Tribolium castaneum: one gene and its partner. The protein of the gene in region 1 interacts with the protein of each later gene in a pairwise test. Links are inferred from orthologs where the notes say so. Each region holds a gene or a part of one and is shown on either strand. Other genes may lie near its edges.

Region 1 (11,677 bases):
TTAGCGATCCATTTCAAAGCCAGAAACTCGGAAACAATAAAAATAACTTTCGTAATTTGTATGTAAAATGTTCCAGAGGTTCGATTGGCGACAATATTCGAAAACGGCTTGTAAGTATAGAAAAAGCTGACAAAAACTCCCGTAAAATATCCCGAGTAATCCAAAAATGCGGTTTTTGATTTTTGAACAGATATTATTATTTTTTAATTTTTTTTTAGTTTTGGAAATAATGACATTACCGAGTTGGGCGTTTTTGCTTTGCGTGAATAAAAATTTGAAGTGCTCGCAAGTGTGCGCCATATTTTACTCGTCCTTTATTTTTGGCGAACTTTATTGGCTCAAGTTCACTTGGCGTAAAATGATTCTTTGCACTTGGCGTTCCAACACGAGTGTCAGACAAGCCGGCAAAAATACCGCGTTTTCTTAATATGTATGTGAAGTCTGAGTGGCATTCGACCAGCGAAGAAGACGTTTCACAAACATGCGATATTTTTTCAAATTTTCATCCTGTTTAATAATGAAGATCATATTCATCCGCTTCGAGCGAATAAATGTAATCTTCTCGGAGCATATCTATTGAGTAAAGTAGATATTCAATTATATTAAAATTGCATTCATGTGACACTGGCAAGGCAATCGCGAGCCTTTGATCCGGGGGATTACCCGGCTGGGACATGAGTTTTCCTGTCAAATTTTCACGACGTTATACTTCACCTGACAAGGGGGCTAACCGGAAACGAAAATATTGCCCGGGCAATAGATTGCTGAAGAGTAATTTATTGAAAGGGAATAAACTGAAAAGTTTCGGGACTTATCAGTCGGGATGATGAACGTACAAAGTTCCCAAATAACATGTCATAAATTACAAGGCTGCCAGCACAAAGAAATGTGCCGGGTGGCTCACAAAAATCGCCAAACTAACGTGTGTCCCCAGCTTCACCCGACACATTAAAAATATTTTTTCTCGATAATTAACTTAAAAATTTTAAATTTTAAAAACATCCTCGAACGTAATTTCTTTATTTTTTTAGTTACCATTTGTTTTTTTTTTGAGATACTTTTCCATTTTTTGTTTTATTTATAATTCCTTTGGTTGCCGATTGGCTAACTGTTTGTTAATGGCCTTTGCGCCCTCCTTTTTTTTGTTCCCCGTTGAACACGCCCTCTGCCCCAGCTGTCTTATCACAACCCTGGAACTGATTTCGAGTGGTTTACAAAGAGCGGCCCGAGGGCTGCAGCTATCCGGTTCTGTGATAGGACTGTCGGCGTTATCCGATCGGCTAGACCTAAACTTTAGAAAAAGGGAAAAATAGAGTCGGCTTTAATTAAATCTCCTAATTGCGCGAAAGCGGATAATTAAGCTTGAAAAATAATTTCAATCGATTTAGCCGAGAGAATAGGTGGATCTATTCTTGGGACTCTTAATTTTTTTCCTCAAAGACGCCGTACATAACCCGGCTATAAGTAATTAATTTTCCTTTGGAAGTTAACAGGATTTCTTTGTTCGCTGATTTCTCGGCTAATTACATTTTACAAATAGGAGTTTTTCCTGTTTTGGCTGAAGCGTTGATTCGTACGACGCGAATTGGGGCTGCTTGAGGAAACACATCCATTTTGTTCTCTTCACCAGCAGCTGTCCCTGCGGTATATTAGAGAAAGGGAGGGTACGACATGTAATTATACATCACTTCATTATATTTCGCTAATTACTTTCGAATGACTCCTGTTCAACTTTCTTAACGATACTGAATTCACTGCCGGCATAATTTAACTTGTTAACAACCACAAAGAACGCCATTTTACTTTCTTACACCGAAAAAATACACTTCAAAAGAGATAACTTAAATTGGAGTTTGGTTATTTTCTCTAATTCAACTGCAAACTCATTTGAAACTAAATTCTTGCTAAACCGAAATATCACACGACGCGCCAGACGGGGAGGAATTTACGGCATTAAACGACACCAAAATTTAAATAAAAACTTTACTTACAACAGATGCAACAAAACAAGTGCAAAACAACTTATATTAATTTAAACCAAACGGACTTTTTCCAAAAGTATTTTTCCGCGTTATTCTCGATTTGGCACTTAATTTCTATTATATACAGGGTTATTCACATATGACTTCGGACCTGACCAAGTCAAAAGTGCAACACAAAACACATATTATAAAGCTAGCTGGATTCCTATTATGTCATAATTAATATTTACTGAAATTTCGTGTTGCCTTTTAACTTAGTCAAGCTCGGAGTTTTATGTGAATATTCCTGTATAATATGAGGCATCTATTTCCAAAACGTACGAGTACAATCTCCATTTTCTTACGATTTTTTTTTGCATAAACGAAATTATTAAGTAATCAATTTTAATTAAAAGGATTGTAAAAAAATATTTGTGGAATCAACTCGAATATAACTTTTTACCAACCTTTTGTTTTTATAACATAGTACTTACCTCATGTTTTGAAGCTCTTTGTCTTTTCTACCTACCTTATAATTTTTTAAAGTTTGCTAAAGGAAAAATTATGGTGGCAAAAAGGAATTGGCAATAAGACACCGAAATATAGATAACAAAACTTTATTTAGTACAAAAGCAACAAAACACGTGGAATGTAATAAGCAACGCACCTAAATACTGAACACTTAACAAAATCAGACTTTAAAATTGTACTTTGAAAGCAATTGTTCCCAATCAACTGAATGAAAAAACGGATGCGATTTTAAATTTTCTGGACCATTGGCCCCAAAACCTAGCCGTTTTTGCGGCTCAAACGTCAAAAGTTGCCTCAACAAAGACCGCCCTTCTGGTGACACATATTTGGGAACTTTCAAAACTGTATGACTCGTTAACCCTTCTGGATAAATTTCTGACAAAGGCTGGAAGAAACCAATTACAAAATGGTCCATATCAAAGCGATTTAATACCATTCCGACCAAAAGTTCGTACAAAATAGCGCCATAACACCACCAATCGGCGGCGGTTGTAACCGGTTCGAAAGAAAAAATTTCCGGTGCTACGTTTTGTAAACTTTCTGGGGCAAAAACGTCGTTCACGTTACACATGTAGGTGAGCACCAGGTCGCCCTCGTCGTCAATTAACAAATTGCGAGACTGCAAGTCGCTGAAAGCGTTTTATTTTTACTATGTTTTAATATCTTAGGAGTAAAAATTTAAAAAAATTCATTGACCTCTTGTAACACTTGTGGATAAAACTCTAAGTTTAATTAACGCACCGTGCATTTTGGGCGATTTTTAACTTACTGGCACACAACTCCCAAGGCGTGCACTTTCTCCAACGCTAGTAGGAGTTGCGCCGCCCACTTGACGATGTTCTCGTGTGGAATGAGGAGACTTTGTGCCAGATCCAAGTCGTCGAAGCTCGACATTTCGCTGAACTTCCGTGATGATTTTCTTAATAAATCGGGGAGTTTGGACGGGACAGGTTCGTCCATTAAGTTTCTATTAAAGCCCGGATCGACTTTCACGTAATCATCGTCGTCGTCGTCGCATTTTGTCGAGTTTTTGCCTTTGTTGCTTGCGTAATCGTTGATTAAATCGCTGTAACTATGCTCCGATTCCGGATCGGAAAGATCCATATCGTGCACTTGGCGCAGGATTTGCGCCTCATTCGGGTAAAAAATATCAGAAGGGTCCTCAGACCTGCACTTCACGTAATCCCATAGTGCTTTACCGCTAGAAAAACGCATTCAAACCCGCCAAAAATACACACAAAAAACAAAAATTACCTACAGTACTCTAACACTAAAAACAAGGCGTTTTCGCAATTGTAATAATTGCACAACTTAACCATGTAAGGCACGTTCTCGGGCAAAATCAAGTTGTCGTTCAGAAATTTCATAGTCTTGTGTATAACCTGCAAAACGGCCGCTAGACTCGAACAAAAACTCATTTTTTTTACTTTAATATAAAAGAGTTGCTGGAGCTCGGAATGCAAAACCAACATTCCGGAGGCTATAACACGGACCACTTTATATTTGTATAAGTCGGATATGGGTCGTTGCACGTATTGATCGGCGTTTTGGCCGTTTTCCTCCGATTCGGTCTAAAAATATTCACTTTTAAAACGGCCGCGTTTTTACGATGCGCGCGCATCCCCACACAGCGACATCTCACGAGTGAATCAAACACCAAACTTTTACTTCTCACGACCACTTCTGAACCAAATCGTGCGATTTCCAAATGATAATAAAAAAATCAAAGCTGCTTCATGTCAAGTATGCGCGCGCAACGCGACCTCTCGCGACTGAATCAAAAGCTTTGAACTTACAATTCGCTTCAGACTTTGCACTTCGGGGGCCAAATGCATGTTATAAATTTTTTCGGCCCTCAGTAAATATTTATCAGTTTTGTACCTCACTATTTGTCTCCTATCGTAATTTTTATCGTCTGAAAACCATGATTTATTTAGGCAAAAATAGTCAATTATTAACCTTTCCCATATTTCAGCAAAATATCAATTGCGGTTTTATAAGCCGTGAAAGCGTCCTCATATTTCTTTTCGTTTTCTAATTCCGTGGCAATATTTACGTGAATTGAAGCGTCTATGATATATTGTGCATAATTCTCGGCACAACTGGGAGTATTGGGAGGCGTTGGATAAATCTGACCGTCCAATAGTGTTATACTGTCAGTGGTCGTGGATATACTTATGTTATCAGAATTTTTGGATTGGTGCGAGTGGCTGAGGCTTAAACGGGATTTAGAGAGGGTTTTTTGAGGCACAGAATCGGCAAAAAAATCGCTATTCTGAAACACACGACACACATTTTATATTTTTTCTACCACAAAAATCACTTACTGTTGTTACTGAATCAGTATCGCTGATCGTGCGATCATCATCAGAGTTGGCTATGCAATATTCAGGGTCCTCAGGTAAGTTTAAATCGGCTCTAATTGCATTAATATTACCGTTCAGTTGGTCAACAGGCGTGTGACTCGTTTCAAAGAACTTAACAAACTCGCTTGAAGTGAACAACTGAGAGTGATAACCGACGTATTCCAAAAAATTCAAAATGCTCTGTCTTCTCTCCTGCACAGTCTCGTCACTAAACCTAAAAATACTATCCTAAAAAACAAGGCACGAGCAGCGTAGCGGCGAGTAAGCAATACGTCTTTAATAATATATTTCTATTTTGCGTTTATGTCCTTTATTTATTGAAGAATTGAGAAAATATAATCAAAAAAACACTAAATTGAAATTATAATTAGTTCGTGAATTACACAAGGTGATTTAAAGTGTCGAACCAACTCTCTTAAAATGAATACAAATTTTTTTCCTTAGCAACTATAAAAAAAAATTGTCTGTGGACTCAAAAACTTATATAATCCAGTAAGTTCAAATTTGATTATAATTAACTTTCTTTAAGAAAGATAAAAAATGCCAGATAGAAAATTTTGAATTTAGGGGTTGGCAATCAAGTCTTCTTTTTTCCCCAAATGTGTACCAACTTGACAACACAAAGACCGTTCCAAGGTCACCAATTACGTGTTCTAGCACTGATAACGATGCTGAAGAGAAAGTATTTGTAATTCCGGGGAAACTGTTACCTTTTGAAGTAGGTGGAGGTGGGCAAACTAGGGAACTTCTCTTTGATGTTCAATTTATTGTGCAAGACTTTGATTTCGCGGTGGAGCTTCTTAAAGTCATTGAAACGTTTCCAGACGGTAATTTTTGTTATCGCGTCGGGGCAAGACTCGGGATAAAGCTGCAGAATCAAATATTTGATAACTAAAAATTGTGGAATGTTACCAACCATTGAGATGACTTTGTAGATGGTAAAGCCCTTCCGGTGCTTGCTGATATCAGGGATATCAAAAATGCGGACCCAGTTGTCACCATTCGACACCATTTTTTGACTTTTTGATAAAATTTCACATTTTTTGCTAGCGATAAGGCGGCTGTCAAAGTGACAGCGAACAGCTGATTTCAGGTTATGTCGCTTTGACATTTATCATGTCAACAATCTTTCGTAAACAAATTGTGTGATAATAATTAATGGGATAATAAAAAGAGGTCAATCTTTTGATTTTCGTTTATTTCTTAAAAACATCTAACAATCTTAAACATCAATAAATATCTGTAAAAATCTTGGTTAGGTAACGTGTTTTAAAGCCCTCGGTGCACAATAACATTAAGCATTATAAACTTCTGGAACAATTATCGGTCTTGCAGCTGCAACCTGAGATTGATCGGCTCCTCTGAGGGAGACTCCTTAAAAAGACTAGAAGACAAGTCAATCGCGACGTACAGCCCGCACAGTAGAAGGGGCCCCACGATAGCCCCCTCGACCCCGAGACAGAAAATCCCCCCAGCGATGGCCAAACCGGTCAAATACGGGTGACCGCCCCTAAAAAACAATTATTTTCTTCATCAGAAAAAAAATTCTATAACAAACCCTTTGATTTCCTTATAAATGGTAGTATCAACGATCGAAGTTGGCAAAAACTGGAAAATGGCAAACACAATTGCCTCAATCCCGCGGTCTTGGGCCAACCACAAGTCCAAAACGGCGGGAAAACACGCCCAGTAGGTCCCCAAAAAAGGGACAGCCCCCAGAATTGTCGCAAAAGCTGACGGAAGATAGACGATTTTCACGCCGAATAAATTGTGGATGAACCACGTCCACATGCCGTAAAACGCTGCCATTTTGAACGAGGCGGTAAAGACCCCGTTGATAGCCCCCTCCAAAGCGTGGCCAAAGCGGCGCCCACTGGTCGAAAACTTCGTCATGAGTTCGACTGGTTTGTAAAGGTCGCCACTTGAACTCAGGAGGTAAAACAAAGTTGTGAGGAACACAATCTGGAAGCGATTTATTTAATTGACAAGGCTTGATAATTCCGGGGTTTTACCCCATTCAAGATGAAGTTTAGCACCGCGGTGCCGCCGCCCAAAATCACCGATAAAAAGGCGCTAAATGAGCCAAGCACTAGCCCGATGTTTCCCTTAACTATGGACCAGACTGATTCCAGAAGGGACAGAAGTGTCCCCACGTTTTGTTTCGCAAAATCCACGATTCCGTTCAAGTTGAACATTTCTACAAAACAATTGTGGTTTTACCCGAGTTACATACATTTTTTTACCTGGTGATCTCTGTATGTCACTGATGAAATTTTCCCAAGACACTCGGACCGCGTCTTCGGTCACTTTAGGGCCGTTTGCGTCGGTTGTGGACATCCAGGACTGATAGACACGATCCCATAATTCCAACACTTGCTTTTCCAGTTTTTCCGACTTTGCCGAGTCCACGTCTGTCATCATTCCTTTGACCTGGGAAAAATTCAAAGCCGTTTTCTCTCTTCTTGAGACAATTTTCGATCAGTTTTAAACGTAATAATCGCGAAAAAACGCAATTATCGAGGATTTTACTAAACTGAGCAAAAAATCATTACGTTGGCAAGAAAATGACCAGCGCTTAAAAGCCAGAATTGCAATTATTTCGTGAAATTTCTTAAAATAAATCCAAAAAAATCGCATTCGCAGCGTTTTTTTTTATTTGACTTACCGCTTTGGAGATTCCTTCTCGGCCGTATTGGTACGCATTGTCCAAAATGGAGTCAACAGTGTCGTCCCAAGCGGGGGGCAAAAGCTGTCTCAACTCTGGGTTGTGAACAACAGTCTGATTGATCACATTTCCGGTCATTTGAACCATCATAATAGCCTCGGCATAGATCTAAATTGTGTTGAATTAAAAAAACACACTTCCGACTTGTTTTTTCCTTTACCTGAATTGCTATAAAAACTGACGCACAAGTCACGAAAATAATAAGACCAAAAATAACGACACAACTCGCCACCGTATCAATACTCTCTCTAATACTAGTTTTGAGAAAAATATTTATTTTGTGGACCACTCGATAGAGGCCCCTAATTGGCACAGGAACAAGGGCGTCGTGTCTCTCACAACACCAGTTACTAACAGCCAAGATCGCAATTTTCAACTTATCATAAAGCCAATTCCACACACCGAAATATTTCCCGGCATGCTTGAGACAGTACAACAAAATCGGAAGCGGTAGCAACGGCAACAAGACGATATTTTTCCAAAACAACATCACAATGCAAGCCCAAAGTACCGAATACAGGTAAAAAGTACTCTCGTACTTTTCGGTATCTATCAGACTTTGCGTTGAACTTTTCACACTACTCAATCGCCGATTCAAACTCGTGAAACTCGAGCGATTTTTCAGCGAGAACTGGGGTTGGGACAACGAACGTTTCAGTTCTTTTTTCGGGGTTTTTGAAATCAGGTGAATCCCCTGATTGGTTATTAGGACACTCGCATTGCTCAACTCGGAGTCAGTTCGCTCGAGGAGATTCGATTTGTTCTCCTCGAATAAATCGAGAGAGTAGGGGTCTCTTCGGGGGGATTTTACGGGGGCGCCGTCGCCCACACCATCGTTGAACTTGACCGAAGTCTTCGGCTTGGCATCCTGATCCTAAAAATATTTCTCAAATTTGGCCAGACTGTCCGTGGCTTTAAAATTGAGTTGGCACTTGCCAACAGGATAAAAATTAGTTTAACAGTGAGATAATGAGATACCTCTAGAGGTTCCGACTTTTGTTCACTCGCTTCGTTCGCTGGTTCTTTATGTTCCTCGTCAATATCTAAGGACTTGTCATGGAATGCAAGAGATAGCGACTCAAAGAATGTAATTGAGTGGCCTTTGAACGTACAATTACTTATAACATGTTGATAAAAATTTTAAAAATAATACCTTCAGCGTTTAGTTCGTTATGAATGTCGTAGACTTCGCTCACAAATCCGCCGAAAAACACAACTTGTAAAAAAATAAACGCAGCCATTTGGAACGACCCGAATAAATGAGCCAAACAACAAGACAACAACAACCAAATTCCAATTGATGCGTAATGAAATCGCGTATTATTTTCGGGTTTCCACAGCAGGAATGTCAGAGACATGTAGGCGATTAAAATTAGGCCAAACTACGAATATTAGTTTAAGCAACAAGTTTTAAGCATTGGCACTCACCAGAGGTAGAGAGGCATTATCCAGACAAAAACCCAGTACGAAGTAGCTATAAGTGTAAGCTTTATAAAAAATGCAAACCACCAACTTTGGCGTGTAATTATAGACCAGGAGCACCAAAGGCACCGCCACACAAACAGCGATAATGAACTTGATCCGTTTCAAAATTTGGTCACCGATCAAATCCGACAAATCGTTGACTATGTTGATAGGGATGAGCATCACCCCCAGCACAATGGGGGTGTGAGACACCTCCAGACTCTTGAACCAGGCCTGGAACTTGTCCCTGAGCGACCGCTTAAGGGGGTGCAACACCGACCCCACCAGCAAGGCCCAGATCAGGGGCTTCACGAACGGCTCCAGGATCATGAACAGGGCCCAACTGGCCGCACAACACAGGAACAGCAGCAGAAGGGCCACGGCGTTGTAAAGGGCATGCTTGACGGGCTTGTCATGCCCCTGCGGCAGCCCCCCGATTATGCCGAAGATGCTCTCCAAGGGCGAACGGTGGTCCATCGCGATATTAATTCAACTGATTAAATTTATCGAATCATTTTTAATTTTAGAGCAATGTTGACATCGCTGACAGAAGGGACACGTGAGTGGCTAAGGTCACGCTGTTTGTATTTGTCAACTGTCAGTGGCAAACCAGGTCAAACTATGCCCGATTTTTAAAGAAAGTCAACCACAATTAGTGTAAGACGATGTAATGCTTCCAGAGCACTTGTCTAAATAGTTTCATAAGATCTTGTTATTCATAAAAATTAATAAATTTGAAAATTTCACACGCAGACATTATTAGATATTACGCACAGACCGTGATTTTTGACGAGCGTTCTTACGATCGAAAGTATCAATTTGATGACTGTTTTTTAATTAATTAGTGTATTTTGGGTGTAACTGGTTTAATATTATCAAATACAAATAAATTGTGGCCACCTTTTAGTATTTGTCGAATTTTATGGCATATTCTGTTATTAAGTATTTCGGTAGCTTGCGCGGTACCTAGTTTATTTCGCAAGTTGTCAAATTTTTAATCTTACTTTCTTACGAATCAGCCAAGTTCACGTCCCGCAAAAAATCAAAATTGTAAAAAACAATATATGAATTATGAATTACCGATTACTTCACTCGTTTTTTGTTCTTGTGTGACCGGCGTTTGACCAAATGATTATTTCACCTAAAGTGCACCATTACGGGCAGTGTATTGTTAGTTGCATAATCTTGCGTCATAGAACTAAAATTGATAATTGCAAAAACTGCCCAATACTTTGAATCACTACTCCAAACTATAAGACCCAACGACTAGTCAAATCTCCAAAAACGATTAAAAAAGCTATAAACAAATTTGAAGACGTGAAGGGTTCTGTTTTACCGACCAGGGTCAGCTGTGTTTGTGTCAAATTGACTCCCAAATATGAATTAATGAATTGATTGTTTGTTTAAATGTTACTGTTTATTGGAATCTCGTCACTGGTAGCGCCATTGCGGAGAGTTTTCTGCTGCTGTTGGTGATTTCCACGCAATGGTGTGCCCCATAACCCCCACCGAAACGTCACTTTGACGTTTCTGTCATGCCAAATAAACCACTAGGTTTGAGATCAGAAAACAGTCAGGTTCGGGCCACCATGTGTTGAGCGTGTTCGAAATGTTGCAATAAATCGGTTGTGTACGAAGACATGGTGACAATGACTACCCTTCTAGTGTCCGCGGCCGAATTGTCGAACATTTTTTCCGTAATTGCAGTGCTGTTATGTTTTTGTGCGATGATCCTGTTCATCACCAGGTCAGTCGCTTATTTACAGCCCCTCACTGAAAAAGGCGCATTGCAAAACTTTTCCAGTTTTTGTTGCATTTAGTTAACATTTGACGATACTGTTGCCAGCAACATTATTGCTTTTTCCTGCCGAGAATTATTTATTTGGGCTTAAATCGAGTGTTTATATTCCGGACCTTATACACCACATGTGGTTCGAATCGATAAATAACTGCTGGATGTCAATGAGGTGCCCAAACTAATTGTTTGTTTTCATCAGTTTGCCGGTACTGAAATATTCCACAAGGAAAATTACCAGAGTTATTTAAAATCCCAATCAAAATGTGCAGCTAACCCTGAAAAGCCTTCAAACATCATGCCTTGCCCAACTCTCGGTGCATTCACAGAAATACGGCAAGGTTGATGCACAAAAAAGTGTCAACACTCGAATTTGACAATGTTTGCGGTGATGATAATAAAACAGGATTTTTTGAATAAACAACAAAAAGTGGAATTTTTTGCCCGGTTTTGCAAGTTTGGGACGAAATATTAATCAAGTCTGGGTCAAGCTAAGATGGGGCTTTTGGTCACCAAGTCCAGACATTAAGGTGTCACCATTATTTTACAATTAGTTAACACTCGACGTGGGAAAATTACGTTTCTATTTTTAGAAAATATTGTGTGTAAACTGGAATAAAACACACTTTATGTAATGTTAATTTTAGGAGCTTTATTTATTTGTGTGGCATGCGTGACAGTATAATTAGAAAAAAACAATTTGTAAAATAATTATGCCAATGAGAGTCAGCAATGATTCACGCCCTATGATTTATTGCTGTCAGGTTGGTGCAATTATTTGTATACTTCAAGTGTCTTTTGCCACTGCCATCAACTTCTCAACACGAAATTGTGT
Region 2 (8,598 bases), about 11 Mb from region 1:
AATTTACCTCACTTTATATAATAATATCAAATAAGAACATACGGGATTCTAAAGTTCATGCTAAAAATAAGTGCCAAGAGTTATTAAAAAAACTGTAACCTTTGATATTGTTACTAATATAATTAGTAAATTAATCTAATAGTTTATATTTAAAGTTGTTGCTACCTGAATAATAACAGGTTTATACAATATTTGTTGCTTCAGGTTTTTTGGTTACATGTATTATTAATCTGAAATGAAACGGTTCAAAAAACAATAATTTTATTAAGAAGATACGTATCATCTGAACGCTGTTCCTCCTTGACGTTTAATCACTATTAAGTACTACGTTATTTTATTTTTCTTATAGCTATTATAGCTACATATCAATTCAGCATATTATAATCTTTGGGTAAAAAATAAAAGGCTTTACCACAAAATTAAAAACTTTATTTCTAATATATACAACCAATAATACACACATCCTGTACAAGCAGTTTTCTAAACTTTATTAACTAAGCATAATTTATAAATTACATTTTATTTCTGTTTTCGCAATGAATCTAATGATACAATTTTTATAGCTCTGTCGCCATCACTCTCTAACGTTACTCCTAATTCTTGCAGCACTGAAGAAGAAACAGTTCCTTGTTGATGCAACTCAGCAATAATTTTCTGATTTTCCATGTTGTTTTCGCACAAATTACGCACGGCCAATATAACCCATTGCATTATGACTGCATAAATTAAGGCATTATCTCTTATTTAAATTCTGTATTGTCTTTTCAATAAAAAAGGATACAAGGATTTCTTGCGTCCATGTTACAACAGTCCAAAATAACTGGAATGAGCTCGGCTTCTCTTGTCTGACAATTAAAAACAAAGAATAAATAGGGGCATAACATTAACCAAAAAGTTTCAAAAGAAAAAAAAACGTTTGTATCATAGAGAAAAAGTTTGAGTAAGGAATTATTTAAAAAAAAGTATATGTGTAACAGCCTTACTCAACTTACCAAGTCCTGCATAATTTTGTTTTTCCAGCACAAATTACCAATTATCCTTATCAAGTCCGCCTTAAATCCGAAAGCTGGATGTTCTTGGATGTTTTTATTAGGTTCTCTAATTTCAGACAAATTCAGTATTGAAGTAAAACAATTTTCACTTTCTTTTCCTAGTCTGTGGATATTGATTAATAAAACACCAGAGTTGATTAATAGATCTTTATCGCTTTGTAGCACTTTTAAATAATCTTCATTACTACAGAAAGACGATATGACTTGCACAAGCTGCGATATCTCATAAGCTTCCAAACTTGAATCTTTATTTTGAACTGTTTGAAAAATAATATTACCAGACGCTACAAATTGGTTAGTTAACACTTTTAAACCCGTTACTGGTATATTTAATGCCTCTCCTTTAATCTGTTTATCTCTGATTACGCCCAACACTGCTGCCCTCTTATTAATCTCAAATTTTAAGTAATAATTCCAAAAATTACAATCACTTATTAGTTTTTCTAACATGAAGTACAAATATTCTACACTATTGTGAGAGTCGTAAAGTTCAAGGAGAAAAGAATACGTGTCAAAATCCATGTTCAATTCCTTGTATAAAGACATGTTATATAAAAGGGCAGACGTTTCGTAAATGTTTTTCTTGTCTTTCAAGAGTGAAAGTATTGTAGGATAAAACACATCATATACTCTATCCACAGCACTTTTATTTGATATTATTAAATTAAACAAAAATTGTAAAATAATTTGGAATGCATTTTGTATCACTTCAGACTGTAAGTTCATAAAATTGGACACATTCGGTAGAAAATTTTCGTCATTAACTAAATAATTTTGAACGTCTGAATTTATAACATAATTCCTTAGACTCCTAAACAATTCTTTTATGATTCCTTCATGATTTTTGCTTAGGCTTTGCTCAGAAAGTGTCTTTAAAATTTTATGTAGCAAATCCACAGCTTGAGTTGAAAATTCAATCCTGAAAAACTAAATCTTCCAAATTTTTCTTAATAAGGACAAAACTTACTTTAGGGGGACACCTGTCTCGTCCTTTTCCAGCCTAAATTCTTTCTTTAAGTAAAGTTCAAGAGCGGAATAATCATTCTGCTGCAGGTATTCATCGACAGTTTCCAGTTTTACGGATATTGGTCTAAACATAATTTATTTTCACGTCGAAAAAGCTCACAATTTTTATACTATTTTGGCTAATTTTTAAAGGTTAGGTGTCAAATTTGAAAATCAAGCACCAACCCTACGTTAAAAAAGGTTCTAAAGAGCCAGATAATATGTAAAAGGACCTTTGTTTTTTGCTCTTGTGCAATCCCAAACACGTTTTTACAATACAGTGTTTGAATTGAAGGATAACTTAGATTTTAAAATAATAAGAATTAATTTCTCATAATTTAAAATATCATTATTGTAGCATTGGCGACACTGACTTGGTGAGAAAATCGTGTTTTGGTTTGTCATCGTCGGCTTTTTCCTGAATTTAGAAAAATTTGAATTAATCCAATTATAAAGGTAATTTTTACTTATAACTTATGTTTTTTATTAATGTTCTTACATAACTAATGGTTTAGTCCGATTTTGACTGCATTTATTGCATGCAGAGTCATTTTTTGTGACATAACCTCACAAAAACTTTTAGATGTTCCTCACAAGAAGTGAATATGACCGAGGTGTGAACACTTTTTCACCTGAAGGTCGCCTTTTCCAAGTGGAATATGCTATCGAAGCTATCAAATTGGGTTCCACCGCTATTGGAATATGCACTAGTGAGGGGGTTGTGTTGGCGGTAGAGAAGCGCATAACTTCCCCATTAATGGAGCCCACAACAATAGAAAAAATTGTAGAAGTTGATAAACATATTGGTTGTGCCGTGTCTGGCCTTATGGCAGACTCTAGAACAATGATTGATAGGTAAATAATAAAAAAAATAAAAAAATGTAGTTGATCAAAATTATGCCAGGGCACGTGTGGAATGCCAAAACCATTGGTTTGTCTACAACGAAAACATGAGTGTGGAATCTTGTGCCCAAGCTGTGTCGAATCTAGCGATTCAATTTGGCGATTCTGACGATGATGGTGCAGCAATGTCAAGGCCATTTGGTGTTGCCATTTTGTTTGCTGGGATTGACGAAAAGGGGCCCCAGTTGTACCATATGGATCCCTCTGGTTGGTTTTAATAATTATGTTAATCTAAGTTTTTTATTTTTTCACTATAGGTACATTCGTTCAGTTTGATGCCAAGGCGATTGGATCTGGTTCAGAAGGGGCTCAGCAAAGCTTGCAGGAGGTCTACCACCGCAGTATGACACTAAGTGAAGCAACAACAGCGGCACTAACAATTCTTAAGCAAGTGATGGAAGAGAAATTGAATTCTTCAAATGTTGAAGTCATGACAATGACTCCTGGTGCACTGTTTCATATGTTTAGTAAGGAACAGGTGGAGGAGGTAATTTCTAAAATATCATAATTTATATCAAAGGCAGGAGGTTGCTCGTTTTTATTTTACAAGCTGTTTTATTTTTCTATACCAGTATAACTACATTTTTACTGTTTTTCCATCAAAACGATGTTCTCTGCTAACAACATATTTAAATATCGTTATTATTCACTCTACTGGAACAATAAATAATTAAGAAGAAAATCATTACGTTTATGCTTACCACACCTGCTTCCTGGACCTTTTTTCCTAACCCTCATAACTATCGCTAATTACTCTAATTAGTGATGCATAGCGAAATTACCGTAACTAGACACATTTTCATTTTATCCAAGGAGATTCAGATAGTGGATAAAAGGTGGAACCCACATCTTTTTTCAGGTTTTGCTTCTGTCCGTCATACCCAATAATTATTTTTACAGTTGAGCGGCCTTACAGCATAATTAATTAATCAAGCTAATCAAAAAGTTTGCTAATAATTTGATCTTGCCTTTATTCACTTATTTAAAACAACCATAATAATTTAAATAAGAATCCAGACCAAATCTTCATTGTGAGTAAATTTAGAAGAAGAGTTTTTTAAACTTTATTAAAATAGATTTGCATACTATTACAGTTAACGACCAAATGTTATTTAAAGAAACTGTAAGAATGTTATGTCGACAATAATTTCTTAAGTATGTCATAATAAAGTGACAAAAAAGTCGATTTATAAGTAAGTTTGAGTAAAAATTTAAATGGCATTTATCCGGTGAAATGACTTTCAAAAAAATTATTCACATACATAATAGTTTTTAATTTGTGTTATTAAAAGTTGCAACTATTAATTTATTTTTATTGCTGATTAGGTTTACGTAGTTATTCTTTTTACGATATCTAAAATATAATTATTGCTTTGTTCGTTTCTCTTTCTATAACATTGTGCATGTTTTTTCTTTATTAATACAAAATCATTGACAAAAAGTTCTTACAGTCGTAAGTAATTTGAAAAGTAAGATTTTTAATGTTGAAAAAGATGTTCCTTTTTCTATTCAGCAATGTATTTAAGAACTTACAAACAAATAACAATGACGGCTTTTACAAAGAAATCACAAATAAAACCAACGCCGCGAAAGTTGTTTATTAGTTTAAGCCAGAACTGTCCGACTTTTCTTAGACTGTCTCTTATTTTATTTTATAAAGATTTCAGAGGACAAATACTTAATAAATTATTTCATGCACAAATCAGGGTGTGTAAGAGCTAAATGTGCTGAAACATCATACTATACATCTTTAAACGAAGTTTTGTAAAATAATGAGACTCTGTCTTAAGAATTACTCAGAAAAGGCTGAAATCACGTAAGAAAATAACAGCGGTAAACAAGTAAATAAAAAAAATTATATTTATGGGTACAATTAGGTACATCCTAGGTATTTATAATTGTTATAATTGTTTCTGAAAAATAAATCATGACTATAATGAAACAATGGTTTTTGTGGGTAGGTATACATTAGACGGAGGTCTCGTAAGTTGTGTGAAACACACTGCATCTACTATATTTCAGGTGTTGCTGAATGAGAAGCTTATCGATCAGCTGCAAGAAGCTCAAAAAATTGCTGTCTGTTAGTTTTCAATGCCATTGTTTTAATTTTTTTCTGTTTTAATATCTTCTTAAATGTAATTCGATGATTTGTACGTTGTTAATAAACACTTAATTATTGAGGCCCAAATGGCGTGTCTTTAAATTCCGATGACATTTCGTGTTTATTTCTTGTAGTAAATTCAGCGAACGTGTCGTCCCGCAGGCAAGCAAGATTGCTCACATCTGCTTGCCTTTCGTAGACAAAAAAGGACATAATTAAATCAAAAAACATTTTCAAATTCTCGACCTAAAAGCGAGAGTATTTTCATTTCCATCGAGAGCACTTTCACTGATATGAATTCCCCGATATGTGGGAGATATTTATGATGAGAGTTGTGCAACACTAATCATTTCCGGTAGCAGTAATAATCCGGAATCCGGGCGTAGATGCTCTAATGATAGTTGGATGATTAAAGTAGTACGGATTAGCGACGAGCGGAACTTGTGAGGTGGAACAGCCTTCTCGCACACTTGTACATCTCCGGGCGCTTCGCTTTAGCACAGCGGCGCCTGGTCTCGCCTGATAGAGGCCTCCAGGGACTCGCTTTGTGCCGCTAAATCACTCATTAAAGCGCCCACCCCTCCTGTGTCCTCAATCTCGCCGACCACGATCCGCTACCGTCAGCCTGTCATAACTTTGCCATCCAATTCCTGAGACGCTTCCCGATTTCGCCCCGGAAAACGCCACCAGCCCCCAACAAAATCGATCCTATTTTAATTTTAGCTCAACACCAAGTTAAAGCTCCCCAAACTCTAAAGGATGACTCTGGCCTTTTGCTTTATTAGCAAAAACTTTTTTAATTTTCAAAGGAAATGTGTTGTTTTTCCAAAAAGCGCTTTTAATTTTCTTATTCAGTTAATCGGAAATATTTGCATTTGCATTTTTTACGTTGAGAATCAACAGGTCTTTATCGTTAGGAACGTTCTTACAAAAATACTATAAGTTTATATGAAGTCCGCTTTAGCATCCTTAAAAATTGTGACAACGCGTAATGGAGTTTTTTGCGGCAAGGCAACAGAGGGGCTCAATAAAAAATTAAATTTCGTCGTTATTCAGACGTGAAATAAACGACCCCGCGAAACAAAAACGTAGCGGTATGAAACTGGAGTTGATAACGGCGTGGGCGCTTAGCGGGGTTAAAAATAAACGGCGGCCGCTTTTCAATTAATGCTCAAAAATGGAAAATCCTCCTAAACCATGCACCATTTCACTGAAACCAGAATCAAACTGTCACATGTACAATCGCTCAAACATTTTGTCGGGTCGCCGTTTTGGAAGCTCAGCCAAGACTAGACTGATCATTTAGCTTGAATGAATTTCAATTTACGCGATGTTGTGATAAGAACTGGCGAGAAGTGCCTCTGTGGGGAAGCTCTATGGCGAAAGCTTGACGTCAAACCGGCAATTACCAGAAATCCCGATACCAATCGGAAGCTCGAAATGGACGCTGTGCTCAAATTAAATAAATTTTGCGTAATTTTGCCGGACAAGAGATAACATTGCTAATCTATCAGGGCGTTGTAGTTTGACAAGGATTCGTTTAGGGCACGTGCCAGGGATTGACTCTACTCATGCAGTGACAAGAGACGGTTGACTTGGCTTGGTGGCCGCTATCTTCGGTGGACAGAGCACCATGGGACGACTCCTTTATACCCACAATTCCCAACTTAATTCGCTCAAATGAACACCGGCAATGCGAACAATCACAAATTCGATGCTGATCTGATAAAGCAAACATTTATTTATCAGTAATTCAGCGAATTATCCCATTGTTTTCTTCCCCGTATTGATTCTTATTATAAATGTACACCTTGTATTATTTTCACAAGACGAGTTTTTAGAGTACCCAACATAATTGGGACAAGCTGGACGAAAAACTAGTATTGCCTTGCGAAACTTAATCTCTATGATTTTATTTTACATAATCAGATTGTCCCAATTTTCAACAAATAACAACAAAATTTGAGGTGGTTGGTTAATCAGTAGCAAAACACATTTATCAAACTTGGCTATAATTATGTGCGTTTAGCTAAACCACCAATACCTAAACACGTAACATCAAACCACCAATTGCTTGCTTCGTTTGATACTAAAAAATGTTCGGAGCACCTGGCAAAGTGTGAGAAAATTAGCCACTTACTTAAATAATCACCGGTTTGATTAAATATGTTGATAAAAATTTAGGAAGAAATTTGTGGCTGTTGTAATTGTTAATTTATTAAATAGTCACTCGTCAATTAATCTTTAAATCCTGAATGCTGGTAAACAAACTTCATGGTGTCAGTTGGTGCTGAAACAAGAATTTTACAAACTCATCAATTGTTGTAACTGGTCGCAACGACTTTCTTCCGAATGTGATGCAATGCGTTATGTGTTTAATTAAATCCAATTACGATTAGAAAGAGCAGCAGATGTGCTACAGGCTTAATAAGTTTACCAATCGGACATTATTCAATGCGGTGAAATTTTTTCAGTTTTATGGAAACAAACGACCGCTTCTGGTACTAAACGACTAAAACAAAGTTTCTAATAATTGGAAATGATTTATTGCATTTTGTCAAATGGCATTCTTATTAGACTTTATAATATTTTATTACGCAAATAGCAGGGACTATCATGTGGCAATAACAAATGCTGCACCGCGTTTCACTTCTTATTGCTGCAGTAATATAGAAATCGTCTTTGTTTCAGATGACACCATTACTTCAATATTTTCATAATTTGGAGTTGCACAAGCTGCGCTTTTAAGTTCGAGCGAGTAACACAATACTCATTTTATTATTTTTTATCTAATTTAATTTAACACTAAAAGCGAAAGCAACTCCGTATCATAAAATCTCGAGTGTATGCCCACTCTCATTGAAGAGTGACAGTTATGCCTCCGGTCATTGCTTTGAATTTTATGCCTTTTTCAAGCAGCAACCCACATTATCTTCACGTGCAATAAAATAATTACTGGCGACAAGAAGTGTTTTTACCGGAAAATCATGTTACAAAGTATTGCCTGTTAGCGCAGCACGTGATTAATAACAATCTTTCACCTTTCAGCGGATTGACACACGACAAAGTAAGATCCTATTTGAAAGTTTAGCAGATATAATGAAATTATTGTGTAACGTACGATTCGTATAAGATGTTAGTTTCCAGTGAATAGAAAAGTATGCGGGAAATTTAGATTATGCGGATGTAATAATTACTGTCGCCTGCATGTAAGGATTTTTTCGCCGATTTTGCTATTCTGAGTGATGGCTGTTATATAAAGTTGAGTTTTCTGGACTGTCCTTAACTAATTGTTAAAAGTGAAGAAAGGCATGAATCAAGTTTCTAAATTGATCGCGGAATCGTGTGCTGTAATAGTCAATACGAGCAGACGTTGTTGAATAACCGACCATCTTCTTTTCCACTTTCTCCGTAACTGTTCTAAATCGAAGTACGTACATACACGAGTTGAAAAATACGCATTAGCCAAACATTTGTTCTAGAATCTGAATGTGAACTTTCTATATTCACTAATGTGTATGATTATAAACACCAGAT

Evidence for each region. The genes of interacting proteins can lie anywhere in the genome.
Region 2: the proteins of ribosomal protein S6 kinase delta-1 (region 1) and Prosalpha5 interact in a two-hybrid assay, tested with the Drosophila melanogaster proteins (2 studies listed by BioGRID). The link is inferred for Tribolium castaneum from reciprocal best matches to the Drosophila melanogaster genes CG7156 and Prosalpha5.

Annotation. Positions count from the first base shown.
Region 1 is NC_087396.1:22,240,038-22,251,714, forward strand, and holds ribosomal protein S6 kinase delta-1, read right to left. Parts: upstream 5,970-11,677; coding exon 5,775-5,969; intron 5,727-5,774; coding exon 5,569-5,726; intron 5,073-5,568; coding exon 4,820-5,072; intron 4,768-4,819; coding exon 4,452-4,767; intron 4,408-4,451; coding exon 4,289-4,407; intron 4,064-4,288; coding exon 3,920-4,063; intron 3,875-3,919; coding exon 3,747-3,874; intron 3,694-3,746; coding exon 3,262-3,693; intron 3,122-3,261; coding exon 2,926-3,121; intron 2,878-2,925; coding exon 2,653-2,877; 3' UTR 2,563-2,652; downstream 1-2,562. Other genes in the region: transmembrane protein 245, read right to left, coding at 6,179-6,368, 6,417-6,820, 6,871-7,055, 7,102-7,288, 7,524-7,691, 7,744-8,457, 8,562-8,683, 8,737-8,965 and 1 more; cell growth regulator with RING finger domain protein 1, read left to right, coding at 10,688-10,794.
Region 2 is NC_087396.1:10,896,545-10,905,142, reverse strand, and holds Prosalpha5 (proteasome subunit alpha type-5), read left to right. Parts: upstream 1-2,397; 5' UTR 2,398-2,513; intron 2,514-2,572; exon of another isoform or gene 2,573-2,640; coding exon 2,641-2,912; intron 2,913-2,961; coding exon 2,962-3,167; intron 3,168-3,217; coding exon 3,218-3,468; 3' UTR 3,469-3,645; downstream 3,646-8,598. UniProt on the Drosophila melanogaster protein: The proteasome is a multicatalytic proteinase complex which is characterized by its ability to cleave peptides with Arg, Phe, Tyr, Leu, and Glu adjacent to the leaving group at neutral or slightly basic pH.